Lonchura striata: one gene and its partner. The protein of the gene in region 1 purifies or fractionates together with the protein of each later gene. This does not show direct contact. Links are inferred from orthologs where the notes say so. Each region holds a gene or a part of one and is shown in the gene's direction. Other genes may lie near its edges.

Region 1 (10,215 bases):
AGGAGAGAGCTCTCCTTTTACTTTTTTTTTTAGCTAGCTAAGGCAGAGAAGTTCCCCAGACTTTGCCTTTTCTTTTTCTTGGAACTGATCAGCACTACTCTGGACTAAAAACCCAGAAGAACACTGGGAGCTCACACCTGTGGCCCACCAGGGCCAGGACGTGGCATCTTCCACTGCAGGAGGAACTGATAAGAGACTGAGCAAACAGAGCTACACCAGAGAAGGAATTTCTGAATTTGCCTGCTGTGTCTCCCCCTCGAATCCACGGGGATAGAACCCCTGTGGAGCCCGGCCAGCTGGGCAGTGGGGTGACGCAGGCAGAGGGAAGGAACTTCTCCTTGGATCCCAGGGTACTTGGAGAAGCTCCCACGTGAGTCCAAAGATGAGCTGGTCCCAAAAGCAAAGGAAAGAGGTGCTCTCCCTCAGGATTAGTTCCAAAGTTTAATGAGGGCCTGGAGAGATCCCAGGCCACATCTGGCTTCGAAGGACCTCCAGAGCAAGAGAGAGCGGGCCCCGCCCAGAGCAGCCAGGTATAGGGGTGCGGGGAAAACCGAACAGCCAGCAGGGGAAGGACATGGGAGCGGCTCTCGGGGGGCAAGGCCTCAGAGTGACCACTGAGCAAGGGGGTCGGGGAGGAGTCCCAGCCAGGGTCCAGCTACCTGGTGACCCTGGGGGAAGGATCTGGACAAAGGGGAAGGGTCACCAGGTGATGGACACATCACCTGGGAGGAGACAGGGGGATGGGTTGGGGTTTGATGGACATACAGGTACTGATGGGGAAACTGGGATGAACCAAACAGGTACAAAGAGGGGATATGGAGGGACAAAGCATTATGAGGGGATATACAGTGCAAACACAACTTTACATTTGCCATCTCTTCAGAACAGCAAGAGGTTTTGTTGTTTAATATTATTATTTTTTTCATGTTTGTGAATGCTTTGCTTGTTAAAGAAACAGGGTTTTTTCCACTTTTCTCCTAGGAAATCTTTTCCCAAACCAGTAGGGGGAGGGGCTGCTTGAATATACTTTCTAGAGGGAACCCTTTGGAAGTTTCCTCCCAGATTTTCCCTAAACTAGGACAGGCTCTGATAGTGAAAGATTTTGTGACCAAAAATATATAAGGATGCATATTTGCACCTGGGATGGCCATGTACTGTCTGAGCAAGACCACCAGCCAAGAAACATGCTTCAGGCTCACATGTATGGAGTAAAGCCAGAGCCTTTTGGTCCAATTCAAATGTTCACTGATGTTAGAAAGGAACAAGATTACATCAAACACCTGGATTAACTCCAGGCTGGAGCAGGAGAGTTGACTCAGACACACCTGGGATGTCATCACCAGCAGCAAAGAGCATCTGCAGATGTCTCATAGAATCTGCATCTTTTGTGTGTACTATGAGCCAGAAGCTGGGCAGCGCTCACTGCCTCACTGGGAGAAGGTCAGTGATGCTGGGGATGTTTGGGGACATTCTCTATAAGCCTATTGTTTTCCCACACCTGGGAGCTCCTCGGGTGCTGCTCTGCCCACCTCTCCAGGAGCCTGCCTGCCTGGCAAGGGCATAATGTCACCTCAGTATCAGGCAGGCAGGCAGTTCCATTGGAAGTGATTGACTGAAATCAGCCAAGGAAAATAGTGTCAGAAATTTTATCACAGTCTCCTGGGAATATATCAAAGCATCACCAGGCTCCTAATAGAGTAAGTACCGTAAGCTGTCCCGTATATAGAAGCAGTAATGGGGTATGGCTTTCTGCAGGAGATAGTTTGATGTATCTGGGCCATTTCTAACTAAATCCTCCCTTAAGTCCCCTTTTTCTGGCTCTTCCAGCTCCTCCAGGATTAATCAGCTATTTCCTTTTTCTCTGAAAGACACAAGGTTGCTTGCAGCTCCCAATGCAAAGCCCTGTGGGAGCTCCCCTCTGGGGAGCATCAATGGGGACAGCAGGGTGGCAGCCTTGGCCACCCACTCACAATTGTGTCCTGCTCCCAAGTCCTGTGTTATTTAAGGCCCTTGCCAGCACAATGTCCAGACAGCTGGCACCGAGTCTAGTGTTGTGTAGTCCAGCAGGCACCAGGATGAGAGCAAACCCTGATTTTGGATCCTGGCAGCTACCTGGGGTGAGGGGAGAGGCATGTTAAGACCCACATGACCAAAATCACATTTAGGATCAAACTGACCTTGGAGCACTTGGGGCAGAGTTGGCTTCTGCTGGTTCAGAACCCAGAGGAGCAATAACTGGGAAGTCCAGATTGCCATGGGAAGGATGGGGAAATTGAGAAATTGCTTGAAGGTGTAGGAACACAAGATAAAAGTTTTCAAGCACAGATCATAAGAACAGCTGACAGATCAGCAGGACACTGTGCCCAGAGATTAGGCACATTGACTTCCTCCTATGTCAGTACAGAGGAAGTCCATGACCCAGAGAAGGGGCTTTGCAAACCACCAGGTCAAATGCCTCCAAGTGTGTTTGGAAGCTGCTAGGAACAGCATCAATGCAGTACCTCCTCAGGTGCCCTAAGGGCAGGCAACCCTGGGCAAGAGTCAGACCAGCAGCATGGCCAGCCTGGACAGACCCCTGTCACCCCTGTGTCACCTCTCCCACCACTCACCAGCTCCTCACTCCTCTGGGTCACCAACTCAATCTCACTCTCTAAACACACATGTATGAGACTTGCAAATCTGCTTTTGTTTCTGAAGAGGGAAAATCTGAGAACATCCCCAGGGACACAGCTTAACCTCCAACCTGTATTCAACTCATTTGCTCAGATAAATGCACTGAGTTCCACCACTGTTTAACACAAGTGGAAGCTGATTTCAAGTGAGTCCAAGTGCTTTAATTTTCTCTATGTACACTGCTGGTGAAGGCAAGGGAAGATGGGGATTGAGGGGAAGGGCAAGAGCAGTTAAGGGCTATAAGTGAAGAGCAGTGCGGGGGGTCAAATCATGATTTCCATCATGTGCTCCCTGCTGGAATGCTAAAGGCACCAGCTGTGGCTGAGAAGAGGCAGCCAGTAGTAAGGCTTCATGACAGTGGGCACCATCCTCACAAGGATGCTTTCATCTGGCTTTCACACCTGAAGGAGCTGCAGCTGCATGGACCTCACACCTTCAGGTCCTCTATGGTGGTAACTACTTGACAGTGACACCAACCCATTGCTGGAGTTTGTGGCATCGATATGCATCCAGGAATGCCTGCCTGGTTGGCAGAGACTGTTCTCACAGCTCACCACCCCAGCTTTGGTATTGCCCAGAACAGGAGAGATCACCAGACACTGCAAATGTGGCCACTTCCCTCCCCAGCAAACAGGCATCCCACGATGGGATTCTCCTCTTCAGGCAACCTCTGGTGTCTGGAGAACAGCTGCACACAGTCCAAATGCAGGAGTGCCATCTCCTGGGCACTGGGAGACAGTATACAACTGCCTTGGAAAACCATCCTGGAATAACTCGGTGCTCCTGAGGCTAAGAAGCTGCTGCAATGGGCAGGTACCACCCATGAAGAGAAACCCAACCTTTGTGTGCCTCAGCAAGCAGCTGCAGGGTAAATGAACAGCTCTCTAGTCAGTGCATGATTAACCTGTGCCAGGAACTACACACAATTTCCCAGCCTGAAAAATGACTGCGGGACACCAGACCTTTACCAGTCCTGTATCAGCACTGAAGGGTTGCCATGCCCCAGATCCCAATGGCTTGCTATGGAGGAACAGGCACATGGCTCCACGATGGGTGTGCAGGGACAGGTAACTCACCCTCCCATCCCTCCCTGTGGTCCTGCCTCCCTCAGCTCCCTGCCCTGCCTGCATCTCCCCTGAGGCTTCTCCCTGTCCAAGGACTAGCCCTGTGCCTGCTGCCCCCCTCCTCGCATGCTGTCATCCCCCAGGGTCAGACCCCTGATGTGTCCCCACATTGTCAGAGCTACAGAGTGGCCATATTCCCTCAACACCACCTTTCAGCTAAGCATGTTCTTCCCACATTATACTGCTCCACAGGTCTGCACCCCATTCTTCCTTGGTTCATTACACTCTAGTTTTCTTTCCCCTCCCCACTTTGCCCTGCAGCCCAGAGAGGCAGACATACATCATGTAGAATTTTAGCTCAGGTACTCTAACTTCTGACAAAATAACATGGAATGAAGCCAAGCTCCATGTGAAGTACCACAATAACCTGTTTCACTGGCTGTGAACTGACTGTGCTTTCAAGCAACTCTTATAGTAATGGGAATCCTCAACAACCATTCTTAAACTCACTGATGGATTTATGGCATTACTTATCTGTTCTGGTACGAAATAGAATCATAGACTCATGAGATGGAATAGATTGGAAGGGACCTTGAACATCATCTTGTTACATCCAAATAATGGACAGGGACACTTTTCACTAGGCCAAGTTGCTTCAAGTCCTGTCCAGCCTAGCCTTGGACACTTCTAGGGATGGGGCATAACTTCACTGGGAGCCTGTTTCATTGCAGAATACTACTACTAGTGCCAACAACAATAATGTAAAAGTGAACACTTATGTTGCAGCATTACCCTTCTTTCCTGCCTGCTTACAGTGCTGTAGAAAATGCACTGGATTTTTGATCCCAGAAGACTGTGCTCTATGTTCCATTATGCAACTGCTGTATTCCAGGGATACTCACAGCACAAACTTCCCAGAATTACACAACACATCAAATGAGTGTACACCCAAAGAAAGTTAAATGATTTTAATACTTCACCAGCAGAAATGATGGGATCCTCATTGCTATAAAGCAATCTAGTAAACTAATAATAATCTGATTATTACATCTACAATCTGGAGAATACTGTGCGAGGTCCAGTTACTGTCCTGTCTTTTAGGGAAATTAATGACACCATTAATTCTGTTGCTCCAGAGCAGAACTGGTCCCAGTTCATACATCCATGTGGGCCAAATCACCCAGCATAAACAGCCCTCTGCATGCAGGAGGTACTCTGAGTGTCCATCTGCCTGACACAGTGCATGATTAGACTGGATACCGGGAAAAAATTCTTCCCTGTGATAATGGTGAGGCCCTGGCACAGGTTGCCCAGAGAAGCTGTGGCTGCCCCTGGATCCCTGGCAGTGCCCAAGGCAAGGCTGAATGGGACTTGGAGCAACCTGGTTTAGTGGAAGGAATCCCTGCCCATGGCAGGGGGTGGAACAAGATCATCTTCACAGTCCCTTCCAACCCAAGCCCTTGTGGGATCCTATGATTCTAAGCAGTTTCCCAGGGTTGCTGCTTCTCATCCTGAAGAAGCCACATCAGGGCTGTATAAAACAGACCTAATCCTCAGTGCCATGAACAGCACAAACCCCGGATCCCTAGAATGTATTTACACATTAAACACAAATCTGCTTTCCAATCAGCTATGAGATTACAGCTTCTGCTTTGACTGCTTTAGGCAAGCAGTGCTCGAGCTTCTGCCCCTCCAATCTCCAGTAAACGTTCATGCCATGAAATCTCCCCACACATTTCCTATAGAGAAAAAACAAAACCATAAACCCACAACTGTCGAATTTTTATCCTTCCTCCATTCCCAGGAGTGCGTAGCACCCACGGGATGGGTCGGGCCTCCCTCCCCATTGTCCCAACAGCCCCCAGCCCGCAGCTCCTGCCTCTTCTTCAACCTCACCCGGCCCGGAGGCCGTCCCGCCGGAGCCGCCGCTCCGCGTCCCCACAGAGCGGAGGGAGCCGAGCCCAGGGCCTCCCGCGCGAGCAGCGGCGCCCGCCACACAAACCCCCACGGCCCCACAATGCCCCGCGTCAGACGCGGAGGACAAAGCCCGGCGCGCGGGCGCGCGGCCCCGCGGGGGTACCCGGATGGGCGCGAGGCGGGGCGGTGGCCGGAACGCACTCTGATTGGTAGTCACGGGGTTGGAGGGGGCGGAGTGCGCTCTGATTGGTCGCTGCGCGACAGTGGGCGGGAGGGCGGATAACGGAGGCCTACAAAATGGAGCCGCGCGCTGCGCCGCCGCTTATATAACGCGACCTCTTACCCCGCCGCGCCAGCGGGGTGGGGCGGGGCGGTACGATCGACCGGCTGTGCGGCCAATCTGCAGCCGGCAGAGTGGGCGCCTAGCCAATAGGCTGCCGGCGCCGCGACGCAGGGGGCGGGTGCTGCGGGGCGGGGCGGCAGGGTCGGGGCGCGCGCGCGGGGCCGATCCCGCCGCCTGCTGTAAGGGGGAGCGGAATCTCCCGCCATTTTTCAACCGTCCCTCCCGGGCCCCACCGGGTACCACTATGGCGCCGCTACTCGGCCGCAAACCATTCCCGCTGGCCAAGCCATTGCCGCCGGGGGAGCCGGGCGAGCTGTTCGTCATTCCCCACACGCAGGAGGCCTTCCGCACCCGCGAGTATCCGCCACACCGGGGCGCGGGGTTCGGGGCGGGTCCTGGGGCGGTGGAGCCGAACAAAGCGGTGGTGGGATCGAGCGGGGAGCGGGACCGTGAGGAGAGCGCAGCGGGCGCTACCCTGGACTCGGCGGGGTCGTTGTTCCGTGAGGAGTTCTGAGCCTGTTACAAGCGGGCGGGGGATGTGGGACAGCAACTCCGCGGGGCTGGAGCGGGCGGGGAGCGGAGCTAACGGGGACGGTCAAAGCGGGCTATGAGAGCAATTCACGCACTCCTGGAGCGGGTGTGGATACTGGGGTCCCGCGGGCCAGGTGCACACTGGTGCCGGAGACTTCCGCAGTTCTTAATCTCTGGAAAATTAGACAGCGGCAGGAGCTCTCGCTGCGTACATCCCGGGCTTTCGTTCTGAGCGTATCTCTTCCTGGGCTGCTTTTGCCTAAAAACCAATTTTTAATTTTTTTTTTTTTTTTTTTCCCTGCGTGTGACAGCCCTTGGTCGCAGGAAATGGCCCTTGGCCAGGCTGGTGACTGACAGAGCTGCGCGGTGGCAGAGTTTCTGTCCGGGGCCGCAGTAGGGTTGAAGGGGCAGGACCTCGGCGCTGTAACGTGCAGACTTGCTGCTTCAGAAGGCCGGCTTGGTGTTTGTGCTCTAGAAATCAGGATCTGAGTTGAGAACTAAAGAAGGGCTCTAAGTGAGAGGTAATGCGTGAATATAGGAAGGAGGTGTTGGAAGACAAGGGGCTCCAGAACTTCCATAGCCCCTGTGTTGAAGAATGTCTTGTTTCTGCAGTGAACAGAACAGGCAGAGGAAGCCCCTAGGAAGGATTAGGTGGCTTTTGAAGAGGAAATGCATCTCTTGAGTGCAGGTAGGCATTGTTAATGCATTCACTCCAGTGAAACAAGATTAGGTGGAGTGTTGGAGACTTGCTTTTTAACTGTGTTTCAAATTAAAACATGCAGTGTGTGATACCAACCTGCTCTTCTGGTGTGTGCAAACTGAAAGTAGCTAAGTCATCCACCTGACCAGGCAGTTCTTTCTCTTTCCCTTAGAGGAGTGATCAGTGATCAAAAAGATAAGTTTAAGCCTAAATACTACTTTTATAAAAGAAGACTTGGCTTTAAGGGCCATCTGCCTTGTTGGAACAGCACAGGGGAGTTCTGAGGCTCCTGAGAGCACCATTTTTTTGGGGTGGCTCTTGTGGATATAGTGAGTAGGTGGAGGACATGTTTCTGCAAATGCTTGGGTCGTATTAAAATTAAGGGGAGAATAAAGTGTCTCCTCCTGAGAGGGGGAGGGTGTTAGCTGTAGGATTAGAAGGAAAGAAGAAACCAAGACGAGCTGTTGAGGTTCTGGAGAGATGCTCTTTTCTTGGAGGAAGTATTTAACGCGGTGCTGTGGGAGGCAGCCTTGCATGTTCCAGAAAGTTCATCTTGGCAGGCAGATGTCATGAGGCTAAAAAGAGAAACCAAGCAATGTTTGGTTTCTGCTTTGCCTTATGGTGTATAATATATGCTAGGCCAAAAGTGGAACAGAAAATTGCAAATGAGCCATTGAGCTGCAGGGAGATGTTGCTCAAGGAAGACTTGGAGGGTTTTTTTGGTCACTTCCATTTATCCTAGATAGTGCTGAGGAGTGGCTCTGGAAGATGGGAGGGGCCTACTGAGAGCATGCCCGGCGGTACCTGAGTTTTCACCCAGTGTTATTTATGCCAAGACCTGACAGAATATATTCTCCTGAATTGTTTTCTATCTTTAAAAATCATTCATCAGCTCTTCCCCTAGAGACTGTATATAAGTTCTTGTACTACACAGCTACAAGTGAGGCATTTGAAGGACACCAACGTTTCTTAAAGCTTTTTTTTTATTGTTAAGATTTGCAGCTGTTGCAGGTTGGGTCACACAAAAAATGGAGACTGTGCTGGTGTGCATGAGGAGAGACATCTTCCTCTTGGATATGTGTTGTGGAAGTGTTTGGCAGCAATGGGAATGGAATAAGCTGGTCAGCAGCGTTCAGGTGTTTGGTTGGCCTCTTTTTCCTTTGTAGCTTTATGCTGTTTCCTGTGACTGCCAAATCCTGCAAAAACCTTAAAAGAGAAGTCCTGCTGTGTAGAACCCTTTGCATTCTGGCAAAGCCTTGGGTCTTGCTAATCGTATGGGTGTGGGGATGACAGATCATAGCCAGGGATAGACTCATCCCTGCAGGAGCTCAGTGGGGTGTGCTCTGAGCTACCTGAAGTGTCGGGAAAATGTTTTGCACTTGTACAGTGCTGTCAGCATTGCAGTAGATGCTGAACATTTGCAGTCTCCCAAATACCCAGTGTGTACCCTGGAGAACAGTCAGCTCAGCTGTGGGCATGTAGGTCTGCTGCAGCATAGCTTGGAAAACTGCTGCCAGATCAGGAGGTATGCTGGGTTCAGAGAGCTCAGCTACCCTGGGCTCTTCCAGCCAAAGTTTTCCCTCAGCTTCCAGTTTTGGGAAGTTCTATTGTCTCTTGTCTGAATAAAAAGCCTGCTGTCTTTCTTTAGTTCATACTTTTGTATGGTATCAGTGCAGAGAAGAGGAGGAGTTAGGCAGGTTAAAGGCTGCTGCTCACATCCTCACATGTGGTACTGGCCAGACAAACTCTGCCTGGAAGATAGCAGCACCAAGACACTGTTGTGTCACACTCTCCAACTGCAGAAGAACTTTGCCACACATCCTTATAAATGTATCCACATTTCTGGGAAGTTTACCTCCTTGGCTAATGTAAGTGCAAACAATTCAGATAGAGTAAAACTTTCTTGGAGTTGATATTAGTGCTCTCCCAGAAATTACTAATTGAGGAAGAAGTAAATTTTTTATTTTGTCAACAGTTGTTTTGTGCAGTGGTTAGCTTGCTAACTTTTAAACATCTTTCTTTAAAAAGGTCCTTTTTTTCTTCTGTAATTTTGTTTGTATTTTAATTTTGCCATCTTTCAGCATTAGGTGATCTGCAGTGACATGGAAACAGATTTGATGTATTAATACCTACACAGTGGATAATCAGTTGCTTCATTTAATATACATGTTATTTGTAGCTTTGTGGGCAATGTTTGCAAGTAGCTTGTGTCTAGGATTTTTTATTTATTCCTGTGTGGGGAATTTTTGGTATTGGAGGCTCCCACTGTGTAAAGAGGTGGGTTGATTGTGGCATACCACAGGCATGATGACTTGCAGTTCTGGATCAGACCTGCTGAACGATCTGAAATTTCTTGGGTTTGTTTCCAGTCTGAATGGAGAAGACAAACAGCGTATATGTAGTGGAAAGTTTGAGCTATAGTAAACTTTGCAGAAATATCCTTCTGCATTTTGACTTTGTGCTGGCCCCAGGAATTCAAAGCAGGACCTGACCTGGACGTCTTGGCAGAGCGCAAAGGTGGGACAAATCTGGAGCCCTAGGTAAGGTGTGTGTCCAGAGTTAGTGTTAGATGAGCTGACCAGCTGGAGGTGGAATTAAATTGCATGGAAGAGGCAGATCTGAGCTGAACAGGGAATGACCCTGTCTGTCACTTCTAAATTCCAGGCTTTTCTGGGAAATGTGAGTCCTGATGTGGTAAAGTTAAGCCTGTTCTCATAGGTGTGTACAAGGAGTGGAACATTCATAGGGAGAAGTCTCCTGAATCTCCCTACTGATATCGGAAATAATGTTAGGGGAAAAAAGTGTCATTCAGTTATTCCACAGATACCCAGAGGGGAAACTAAGGGGAGAAAGCAGAGAGATTGCTGGATGAAGCTGGAGATGACTGCTGCTCCTGTATTTAAGCTCCTGTCTGCTGTGAAGATTTGATTTGGTTTTAATGCTGTTCTTTGTGGGAAAGGCACAGGAATAAATAGTATTATGGTTGC
Region 2 (10,814 bases), about 5.9 Mb from region 1:
ATAATTCGGAATCTCAGCCATGTTTTCATGGGGACTGTGAAGCTCCTGATGCTGTGATGTAGAGAGAGTTTTGCTGTCAAAATCTAATCTCTCATCAGTGATTCTTTCACAAGGGTGGCCTGGGTTGTTTTTTTTTTTTTTTAAGGCTCTCTTTTTGAAGTTTGGGTTTGTTTTTTTTTATTTTTAATTTGCTGTGGCAAACTGAACCCCGCAGCTCGAGGAGGTCTCACCAGCTGACAGGGAAATGTTGGGAAATGTTGGCTGGGATTTGGCCTTGCTTTCCCCTGGAAGCTGTGTCATTCTGCAGAGAAGAGACATAGGATGTGGTAGGGCTACAGATACAGAATTGTTTGTACATTTTGTCACAAACATCTCTTGCTGTCAGGGAGGAAAAAAAACAAAACAAAACAAAACCCAACCAAAACTCTGAGTTATAAATCTGTCTAGCAATTTATATTGTGCTCATTTCCGTGGCAGCTCTGGGGCTGTGTTTGCTCAGCAAGCTGCCCTGCACTGGGAGCTCCTGGCCTTATCCAAAGACAAAGCAGGATGGAAAGATACCCCTTGATGAGAATCACAGAGAAACCTTTCAGTTCTATCACTTTCCCCAAACGAGGTCTCTGTGAGTGTTGTTGTAGGAACTCCCTTCCATTTGTATAATATAGTATTATTCTTATATTATTATTATATACTTATATAGTAATAAGAAGGAGGGAAATCTGTCCTTTAACTGGGCTTGCAGGTTTGGTGTCTGCTGAAGAGATGGTGAAAAGTGTGGGTTGGAGCTACAGCCCCAGAGCAGTGCCCCTGGCAGTTCTGCTGGGATGTGCCCTGTTGCCTGGAGCTGCTGAAACTCATGGCCTAGGAGACATTAATTCCTGCAGTTTTGTGGGAACGCTGCAAAAAATGAACTTATATGGGTACCCAATGTCTTTGCTTGTCTTGTTTGAACCAAGATGAGTTAGAGAACTGTCCAGTTCATAAAACATTTGTGCTCCATGGATCTGCAGCCCAGGAAGGGGAGCTCTCAGCCTGCCCTCTGCATCAGCACTGCCCCTGTTGTGCTTTAGGGCATGGCTGTGTCTTTTCCTGCCCTTTCCCAATAGGAGACGTGCTCAGCTTTGCTTTGCAAGTGTTATTTTGTAGATTTTAAAGTCTATTCAGTCTTTCTCCTGCCATGGAGAAAAGCAAGGGCATTACAGAAGGACAGAGCAGCTCTAATTTGTCCATTTAGTTGCTATTTTGGGCTGTAGGACTGCACTCTGCTCAGCAGAGGAGTCCCAGGTTAAACTTTGCCCCTCTGTGAGGAGGGGAGCCCTGGCTGTGCTGCCTTCCCCTGATGTGTGAGCAGGCTGGTGTGTCCTCCTCAGGATTCCTGTACATCCTTCTCCTCCAGACTGCAAACAGTTTAGTGCTGATCTGGCCTTATATAGTAATTTCCTATTATTAGAAACATTTCCTTGGGATCTTGCTCAGGGAGTAGCAGAGGGAAATCCTGTTTCCTTCATCTAACTTGCAGGCAAAGCACCAGTGCTCACTCTTTCCTTATCTCGTGTGGATGGAACAAGAAGTTTTTGTTGTGATCTGCTTTCCAGCCGTAAGCCCTTTCTAACACTGAGCCTCTTTTCAGAAATGCAGGAAAAGAAATGTGAAGGAATAGGAACTGTCAGTCAGCAGTGTGAGCTGTAAAGTTTTGCCTGCAGCCTGTACATTCTCTGTTCTTTTTCATCATGTTTTCCTCATTCAGATTGAGTCCTTCCTTTGGAAAACCAACTCTCTGTTGAGTGCTGGTTTGTGTGAAAAGCAGTGTGCTAGGATGTTTCACCTGAGAGTGCCAGGGATGGGCAGACAGCCAATGGCTGTGTTAAAAAAGAGGAACAACTTTAAATTAAGGAAGGAGAAGTTTTTGTTCTGCGTGCAGCTAGGATGTGTTTTTAAAGGCGAGACTCGCTGGAAGCACCAAGATATGCACAGGCTTTGAACACTTAATTTTTCCTGTGAAAACATTTTTTCCCCTTAAAAGGAAGATGTAGGTCCTGCCACTAGGAGTGACTGTTTGGAAAGTCAGTCTGCAGGAATGCACATCAGCTGAACTGAGTCAGGCTGTTTGTGTTACCAGCTCCCTCCAAACCCGTCCCTGCCACAACTGCTGCAAATGATTGTGTCAGAGCAGGGCCACAGCAATCACAGGGAATTAACTGCTGGTTTAAACTTTGTTGTTGGAGTCAGTGCAACAATTGCTGTTGAGATTGGAGTGTGTTTGTAAAATCAGGGAAACCCTGACAGGGCCATGAGCGGGAGCAGCCACGGGCATGAGACAAACTGGCATCACATTAAGGGCATCTGGTAATTATAAAGTGGGACTTTGTTCTGATGGCCACTGTCAAAGCCAGCCAGCCATTTCTGTTTCACTGCTTCAGCAGAAAGCAACAACAAGGAAAATTTATCTTAATTTGTTAGATTAACCCAGTTTCTGTTTTCGCTCACGTCATAGACCCAGAATTATTGTGTGTGTGCGGGAGCCATAACTAAATGCAAGCCTGTCATATGTGCTTTTTAATCCATCACCAGGGGCATCAAAACAGGGAACAGCAGTGGCAGAGATAGTGCAGGAATCCAAGGAGACATGTGCATCTACGTTTTTTGCAGTATTCCTCTTTTTTTTTTTTTGTATTTATTTGTGAAAAACTGAGCTTGGGAAGAAAAGAAGTTTGGTGTTCTCACTGATGAAGCTTTCTTGAAACAAACAAAACCAGTATTGACAGTTTTAAACATTACAAAGCATAAATTAGAATCCAAAAGAATAATCTAAATATTCTTTGTCTTCTGGTTTTTGAACCCTTTTGGCCACACCTCACTATTTTTAAGGTTTTGTCTTTAACCCTGCAAACACCTTCATACAGAATTGGGGAATTCAGTCAGCTTTTGATGTCATGAAGTTTGCAGTAAAGTGAAGGAACTTTCACCATCTTGAGGCACCTTTTGAGTGAGTATAATGAGCTTTTGGTTTAACCTTTCTAGGTGTGCAGTTTCATAACTGAGCAGGAATGTTGTGTCTCCAGGGGCCAATGTCTTGTGTTCAAACCTCTGCTCATGGTTACTTGTTTGGAGCACTCTTGAGAGGGGAAGAGGAGATGTTTTAATCCAAAAACTGGGTAGAAAAGAGACAATTCTTAGCAGAACTAATAATGTAATGAGTAGGTTTTGCCTTTTTATCAAACCTGTTAAATATTTAGCATTGCCTCTTTGGCAGGGTGTTGATTTATCCTTATCCTGCAGTCAGATGTTCATCCTCTGTTGGACACAAGGTGTTTTTCCTAAGCAGTGGGACAAATGTTCCTCAAAACCTTCAGCTTCTGCTATAGGGTGTTTTAAGAATGTGAGGCATTTTAATCAGTTTTAGATCAGGATAATCTGGACAGCAGGACACGTATGACAGGTTAAAGACATTTCTATTTTTTGATTAAGATGTTCCTCTGACCTGCAAGAGGAAGGGCTCTCAAATTCCTGGCCTGTTTAGGGTGGTTTCTTTCCCATGGTATTTTTGCCAAGTGCTTTCTAATTATGGAATGTGTCTTATTCTGTAGTTCTTTTGTAAGGCAGTAATAACAAATATAAAAATCCAGAAAGAACTCACTCACTGATGATGAACTTGACGCCTTTTGGAATAACACAGATGTGATCCACGTTGATTTTTGAACAGCATAAACCCAAGGCAGCATCTCATACCTCCAGATTTATATTTGCAGTGGAATCTACACTGCAGAGGGGAACACTGATGGTGTTTTCGTGGGGCCAAACTCTTTATTTTTTCAGCAGAGCCACTGCTTGTGGGTGTAGCTGAGCGAGTCACGCTCGGCTCTGCGAGCCTGTCAGAGCAGGGCTGACAGGAAAGGTTTCCAGTCCCCTTGCTTTGAATGTGAAATTGTATGCAGGGAATCAGCTGCTTATCTGCAACGAGCAGAGCAATCCCTGTGCTCTAATCCAGGGTTTAAATGAGTCACTTCTAGCTGGCGAGGCCTGGAAAACTTGATTCATCCCTCAGCCTGTAGTTGCCTGTTGGAGTGAGCCAGACCTTGCCAGCCATCCTCAGCAGAAATCACAGACAAGGGCTGGGCTCTGCTGCTGGAAAGGAAGAGTCTGGTTTTATCACCTTCATAATCCAGTATCAAGATCTTACAGAGTAAAATGATCTCTCTGCTTTCCTACGTTTTTCCCTCCCTCTCCTAATTTAGGCTAATCCACATGCAGGAGTGTTTTCCTCGCCAGCAGAAGTTGGGCAGTAGTTTGGCTGCAGAAAAAAGCATTTTGAGTAAAGGTCTTTCCAGTGGATAAATAAATAAAAGGGTTCTCCTGCATGAAAAAACCAAGGGAAATATGTAAAAAATGTACTTCTAAGTACTGGGTTGTTGTATATTCTTCTCTTATGTGGCATTTTCAGTGATGGGATGTGATCTGAGAAGTGTTAGGAGGTGTTAGCTAGGGAAAAGGTTGAGTTGTTTATGTGAAGATAACTCTGCTAATACTTAGAATTATAACAGGAGTTTAACTGAACTTGTTTGGTGACAATTAGATTGGTTTGAAGAGTGGAGCACTGACATTGTCCTCCTGAAGAATTAGTGCTGTGCCAGGCCACAGCTTTAGTTATGCTTGGAAAGCTCCTGGCTCAGGGCTCACTGTTGTGTTTCACTAATGGCTGATGTGGCTCAGTTTGGGAAATGGAGTTTATATCACCTCTGGTCTCACCTGTGCACAGGACAGGGGCTTGGAGTAGTGTCCACTTCCTTCAGTGCCAGCCCAAAACTAAACCCTCCTCCGAGCCACATCCTGAAGCTGCTGCTGTTAAAAATTCACCCAGCTGAGGTAAGAAGTGAATGAAAGTCCTGCCAAACAGAGTTGTGCAAGAACCACAAATCATGTTCAAAATGGAGTCTGGGAGGGCAGAGGAGCTGTGGCACTGCAGAGCTCCCAGCAGCCCAGCTCCATCCCAAATCCTTGGCACAGTCTGCCTGTGACATCCACAGCAGCCAGGATCTTTGGGATCTCTGCCTTGGGCAAAGCTAATTAGAGGGGAGTGCTGCACCCAACCACTGACAACATCTGCTACGTGTCTTTGCTTTTAAATAGCCTCCTCTCTAAGGAGGTTGAAGCCTTTTAGCCTTTTGCTCTAAATCTTTTTAATTCAGAGCTTGGCTTTACCCTTCCTGTAGCAGAATTTGTGAAGGATGCATTTTGATAAGAAGGAAAAAAACAAAGCAAACAAAAAACCCTTTTAAGCAGAGCTGAGTGCAGATAGTGCCAGTCATGAAACATCAGCAGCTGAGCTTGGGAATTATTCCATGGCTCTGCATGTTCAATAATTAGAGAATCTGCTTGACAGCTCACAATATGAATTGCCTGAAATACCTGAGGGGTGGCATCCTCTCTAACAAATTAATGTATTTATTTACACTACCTACAGCTCCTTTTAGGATAGATGCCCAGCTTAGTCCATTGAGGAACAAAATAATAGAATTATTTTAGGTTGGAAAGAATTTGTGGAGATTTCTGGTCCAACCTCACTTCCGGGCAGGACTAATTTAGATCAAGTCACTCAGTCATTGTCTGGTTGAGTTTTAAATATCTCCAGTGATAGTTTCACAACCTTTTGGGACCCCTGTTCCAGTATTTCACAGCACTCACTGGGGAAAAAAATTTCCCAATAACTCATTGGAATTTCCCTTCTTCCAGCTAATGTCCACCGTCTCTTATTCTTTCACTTTTCCCTAATGCTGGTAAAGGCTGTGCAGTATTTTTGTTAGAATGCCCTTATCTCAGGCAGGTGGGTGGGAAATGAGGTGGGGTTTTCACACTCTTGGTGTAGCTGTGATCACAAATAATTCTGTGTGAGAACAGATGAGCTCAGAGACAGCAAAATGTGCAACTTCTCTTTGCAAGGGCTGGGGACTGAGGGCAGCAGTGCCTTCACTGTGTCCTCTAGAAAGCTCTTCCTTGGGTAGTGCAGGTTGTTTTGTAATAAAGACCTCAGAACTTCCAGGTAAAGTGGGGAGTTTGGTGCTGGATGGCTCCAAAGGAATCTGGAATAAAATACTGCTGAGCCAGGTAGGACAGGGCTTGGTGGAATTGGAAATAAGTGAAATTTAAGGTCCCTTCCAATCCAAACCATTCTGTGATTCTAAATCCTTGTGAAGGCAAACTGCATCCAACCCTGGACTCCTTGTGGCCCTGTGATTTCCTGAGGGGGTGATTCCAAGTGTACTGTCAGTGCCAGGGTTGGGATTGGGTGTTTGTTGTGTTTGGGGTGAGCTGGGAGCGGGTTTGGGGAGCCCTGCCCACGCTGCTGTTCCAGGACAGTAACCCAGTGTCCCAGAGCTCGTCTCTTCCTGTCTGATGGCTGTGGTTTGTGTGCTGGGCTCGGCCCCAGCTTTTCCAGTGCCTGGGATTACTTTTCTTTCCGTTTTTCCCTGTCACTGGGCAGCGGGAACTCCGCGGCAGAGCGCAGCTGATTTCCCTGGGACTGCCTCTGCTGGGCCGCTCCTGGCTGGGAGGGAGTTCTCCTTGGAAAACGCCCTCTCCACATGCTCCAGTAGGAGCTGGTGGGAGGGAGGGAGTTCTGACTGCACTGAAAATGCCATGAAAAAAAAAAAAATTAAAAAAATAAAGGAACTGACAGAAGAGAGAAGTTGTCTTCAGATTGCTGCTTTTTGCAGCGGCGTAAGCGAAGGCTCTGCGAGGGCTGCAGGAGGCAGAGATGAAGTTCCGAGGCGGGGTAAGGTTTATTTAACTCCTCTGGTGGCTTTGCAGCTCTCAGATGCCTGTCTGGTCTCAGAAGAAGAGAGGAGGCTTTCAGCAGGGAAGTGAAATGCTTTGAGAAGGATCTTTCATTTAAAAGTTGTGTGAAAAGGGGTAAATTGAGCTAAAAACTCAGAGAATACCTGTTGGGAGGAGGAAGGCAAGGTGGGAGTTGAGAAAGTGGGAAGAGAGGAGAGAGCTGGGCTCTGCTTTAGGAGGGAAGAAAGGGTGGAGCTTTCACTTGGGCACAAGGATGTGAAAGGACCGTCCTGGAGCTGGGCTCTGCTCTTCTCCTTCCCAGGGCTCCTGTCCAATTCCTGCCATCCTAGGGAATGGCAGGAAGTACCTGCTTAAGGATTCATTGCCACTCAGCTTCTCCAGGCTGTTTTAGTTTAGGAAAACTTTGTCCATGCTTTAGCAGCAGCCAGAACACCTGGCCCTGCATCCTGCATGGGACAACCCTGGGCTTGGGAAAAGGATTTTGTGGCAAAAGATTGACAGGACTGGGATTATTACCTGGAAAAAAAGATGAGGACAAGAGGAGGAAAAAAAAAAATAACAGTGCCACAGAAAACACAGAACTCCTTTTTCTGTGTTGTGTAGCATGGGAACAGGGACACTGAATTAAGCTAAAAGTTGCCAAAGAGATGCAAAGATTATTTTCATACAGTGAATAATTGGGCCATGGAATTCACTGACTCTGGAAGATGCTGAGGTCAAGAATGAGGGAGTGTTATAAAAAAAGTGTGTGGGCTTTTGCCTGGATAAGAATGCTCAAGGCTTTAATTGGTAAAGTGACCAAATTTAGGAAGAGAAGAGTTGAAAACGTCGTTTCTGTAGATTGGAGCAATTCTGTGTTAAAGAAGAGTTACCATGGGGCTGGTGTGTCCCATACCTGCTCAATCCAGAGATCCTTGCTTGTTTTCCCAAATATTCTAGTGCTGACCACTGAGAAAATGATGAAGGGCAGGGCAGAGCTTTTGGAGACCCTCCTCTGTGGAAGTGGAGGTGCCAGGGCTCCACAGGCTGTTTCTGCTGGTATCTGGTGTGCTGGGGCCAGCCCCCGTGCCCAGCTGTGGGCTGGAGGAAGGCTGGCAGAGGTGGCAGTGGGATGGGCAGAGGTGGTGCCCGGGGTGGTGCCCAGTTCCCCGCGGGAGCTGTGGGGTGGAGGTGCCCTTCGCGTGGCCCCGGAATGCTCTGGAGCTCTCTTTGGAAAGTTTGAGTCTCTGAGAGAGCTCGTGGTGTGAGAGGGCTCTGTGGGGGTGTGGAATGCAGTGGGGAAGGGAAGGGCTGCCAGTGGGACACAGGGCATCGCCAGGGCACGGGGCACAGGCAGTGCCCCAAAGCTGCCAGGGGCACAGGCAGACCCTGGCTCTTTATGTCTGAGCTTCTGCCACCCTTCACCTGCTCAGCTGCTCTGGAAATCAGCACCAAAACTCATTGGAAAGGGCAGCAAGTTGATGTTTTGCCTTTTTTAAATGCCTTTTTGAAATCTGTTTGTCCTCTGAAGCTGCTGTGGGATGCCCAGGCCTGTGGGCACAGGTCTCCTGAGCAAACTGCCACCAGCAACATCTTTGAACCAGCAGCAGCTTGTGCCATCTGTTCAGGAGCAAAAATGTCAGCTCCCTAAATATAGAAATTCTGTGTATTTACTTTTCCAGCCCTGGTGATCTTTCTTTGCCTAGTTCATTTTTCTTAGTGCTCTTTTATATTTAGCCTGTTGATTGAAATATCATTACCCCTCTTGATGGTAAACATTTTTCCTGTCCTTCAAATCAGTTCTTACAACTGCCTTTTCCTTTTCACTGCTAATTGCTTATTTCCTTACTCATCCCCCCACAAAGTAAAATCTGGAAGGTATAATTATGTTATAAATATTGAACAAATAATATTAGCTACTTATTATTTCAATTTGTCCCTACCCAAAATGTGGAAAACGTCAAAGAAATTACTTTACAAGAATTAGTCAAGGATGTAGCATTTCTTTTTCTTGAATATAATTTTTTTAATAATGTATTCTGAAGTTCCATCCTTCCATCTGGTTAGGATGGGAAGTATCAGAGGGACAACCAAGTTCTGAGTTCCCTAACTCCAGACATTCCATTGCTGGTGATGTATTGGTCTAAAATAAGCAAGAATAAAAAGTAATTCTGAGAAAAGGTCCTTGAGTGGCAGCTGCAAACTAAAGTTGTTTCCTCTAATTCTGCTGGTCTGTGTCACCAGCGTTGTTACCTGCTTTGGTCCCAATCCACCTGACAGCTCTGCTTTTCCCAAGTTGTCCTTTGGGAAATCACCTCATTTGCCTTACATAATTAAAAGCAAAACATAAAGCATTTCCTTTTGTTATTTGATTTTTTTTTTTTTTTTTAACTAAACAAGCCAAATACCTGTCTTATCAATTATTAACTGAGGTGGCTTCAGAAAGGGCAGACAAATCCACGTGGTTGCTTGCAGGGGATTTTTATGGGAGACACAGAGCTGCCTCTCAGGAAATCTTTCTTTCCAACCCAGCTGTTGACTAACCCAGGGAGCTGTGTCCAGCACGAGCAGCTGATTTGCAGTGTGGCAGGAGGGAGGAGGATCCCGAGTGGCTGCACTTCAGTCTGCCAGGGATTTGCTGGCAGATTCCCTCAGTCTGGTCCACCTCTGCCATCCTCATTATTTCTTTCTGCATGCAGAGGGAAAGAGGAGCTTTCCCATTCTGCACCTTGGGAATTGAGGCCGTGGATACAACAGTTGATTTTTGTCTGCTCTGCTGTCTGGCCCATGTTGTGTCCAAGCTCTTTCCCAGGCTGTAGAATGAAGTAGAAATCAAAGGAATTCTTTTTCTTTCCTGCAGCTTTGGCATGACAGTGAAGAATGTCCAACTATCCATGAGACAAATGTTTTTTTGCTGCCACCTCCCCACGAGAAGTTCGTTCTTGGTTCAGACTTGCATTGTCTTCCAGAATCTAATCTGAATTTCCCTTCCCACTCACATTTGGTTCTGGCCTGTTCTTCCGTTCCCGGCTTTGTGACTATTTCTGGAGCCTGCAGATCAATCATCTTGCACTTGATACCAAGATAAAGGTGCCTGCCTCTTCCCAGATGGAGCCACTTCCTGGGGTTCTTCCAGAGAATCTCCTGATGGATACAACCCAATCTGTAAAAATACATTGCCAGGAGAAAATATTGCAAGATATATTTTTAGGTGTTGAAACACAAATTCCTTTCTGAATCAGTTGTGCAGTTTCCCTGCTCCATACAAGACCATTCACTTTGAGAATTCCAGGTGTTTTCTCATGGAAAGGAGTGGGAAGTTGCTGGTGCTGCCTGTTCCCTCAGTGTGTCTGGAGTTGAGTTTTAAACCACTCCAGTACCCCTCTGGGAAAATCAAGCCTGGGAATGAGTCTTGGTGCCACATTGGGTATTCCATGGCTGTGGAGCAGCTGCTGGACAAAGCCAGGGGGAGTTTCTTGCTCTGCTCAAGCCCCTGTGCTCATGGCAGTGCTGCTCTCCCATTTTCCAGCACAAATTCCCCCAAATTTGTGCTCAGCCTGGCTGACTCTAATACTTTGGATTTTGCTGTGCAGAGCAAAAGGTCCTGTTTTTCATTTCTGAGGTGTATTAGTTCTCCATGTCCTAAGCAGAGGAAAAACTTTATCATGCTTTGGCATTCAGCAGAGTTTAAAGGAAAAATATGTGTTTACACCTTCACAATCCCTCGTCAGCGATTTCCCAGCTCAGTTTAGGAAACTCCTTGGTACAGTCTTGAGTGGTTTTGTACTCCCAGGAGCTTGGAGGTATTTGCTGGTCTTGTTGACTCTTGTATGAACACAAAGAAAAGCTGGAACTCCAGCCAATGTAAACCTGACTCTGCAGGCTGCATTCAGCAACCAATTTACACCAGCCGAAAGTCTTTCCCAAAATTCAATCCCAGGGCAGAAAAAGCCTTGTGGAAGCAGAGCAGCGCTGGTGATTGCACTGGCCTGGTCCCCACCATTCCAGAGGGACTTTTCCTTTCCTGGCCTTGAGCCACTGTT

Evidence for each region.
Region 2: the proteins of BAZ1B (region 1) and MYO1C purify together in Homo sapiens (affinity purification with western blotting; 3 studies listed by BioGRID, with this or other methods). This does not show direct contact. The link is inferred for Lonchura striata from reciprocal best matches to the Homo sapiens genes BAZ1B and MYO1C.

Annotation. Positions count from the first base shown.
Region 1 is NC_134622.1:847,401-857,615, forward strand, and holds the start of BAZ1B (tyrosine-protein kinase BAZ1B), read left to right. Parts: upstream 1-6,118; 5' UTR 6,119-6,241; coding exon 6,242-6,354; intron 6,355-10,215. UniProt on the Homo sapiens protein: Atypical tyrosine-protein kinase that plays a central role in chromatin remodeling and acts as a transcription regulator. Involved in DNA damage response by phosphorylating 'Tyr-142' of histone H2AX (H2AXY142ph).
Region 2 is NC_134622.1:6,795,559-6,806,372, reverse strand, and holds the start of MYO1C (unconventional myosin-Ic), read left to right. Parts: upstream 1-6,558; 5' UTR 6,559-6,751; coding exon 6,752-6,769; intron 6,770-10,814.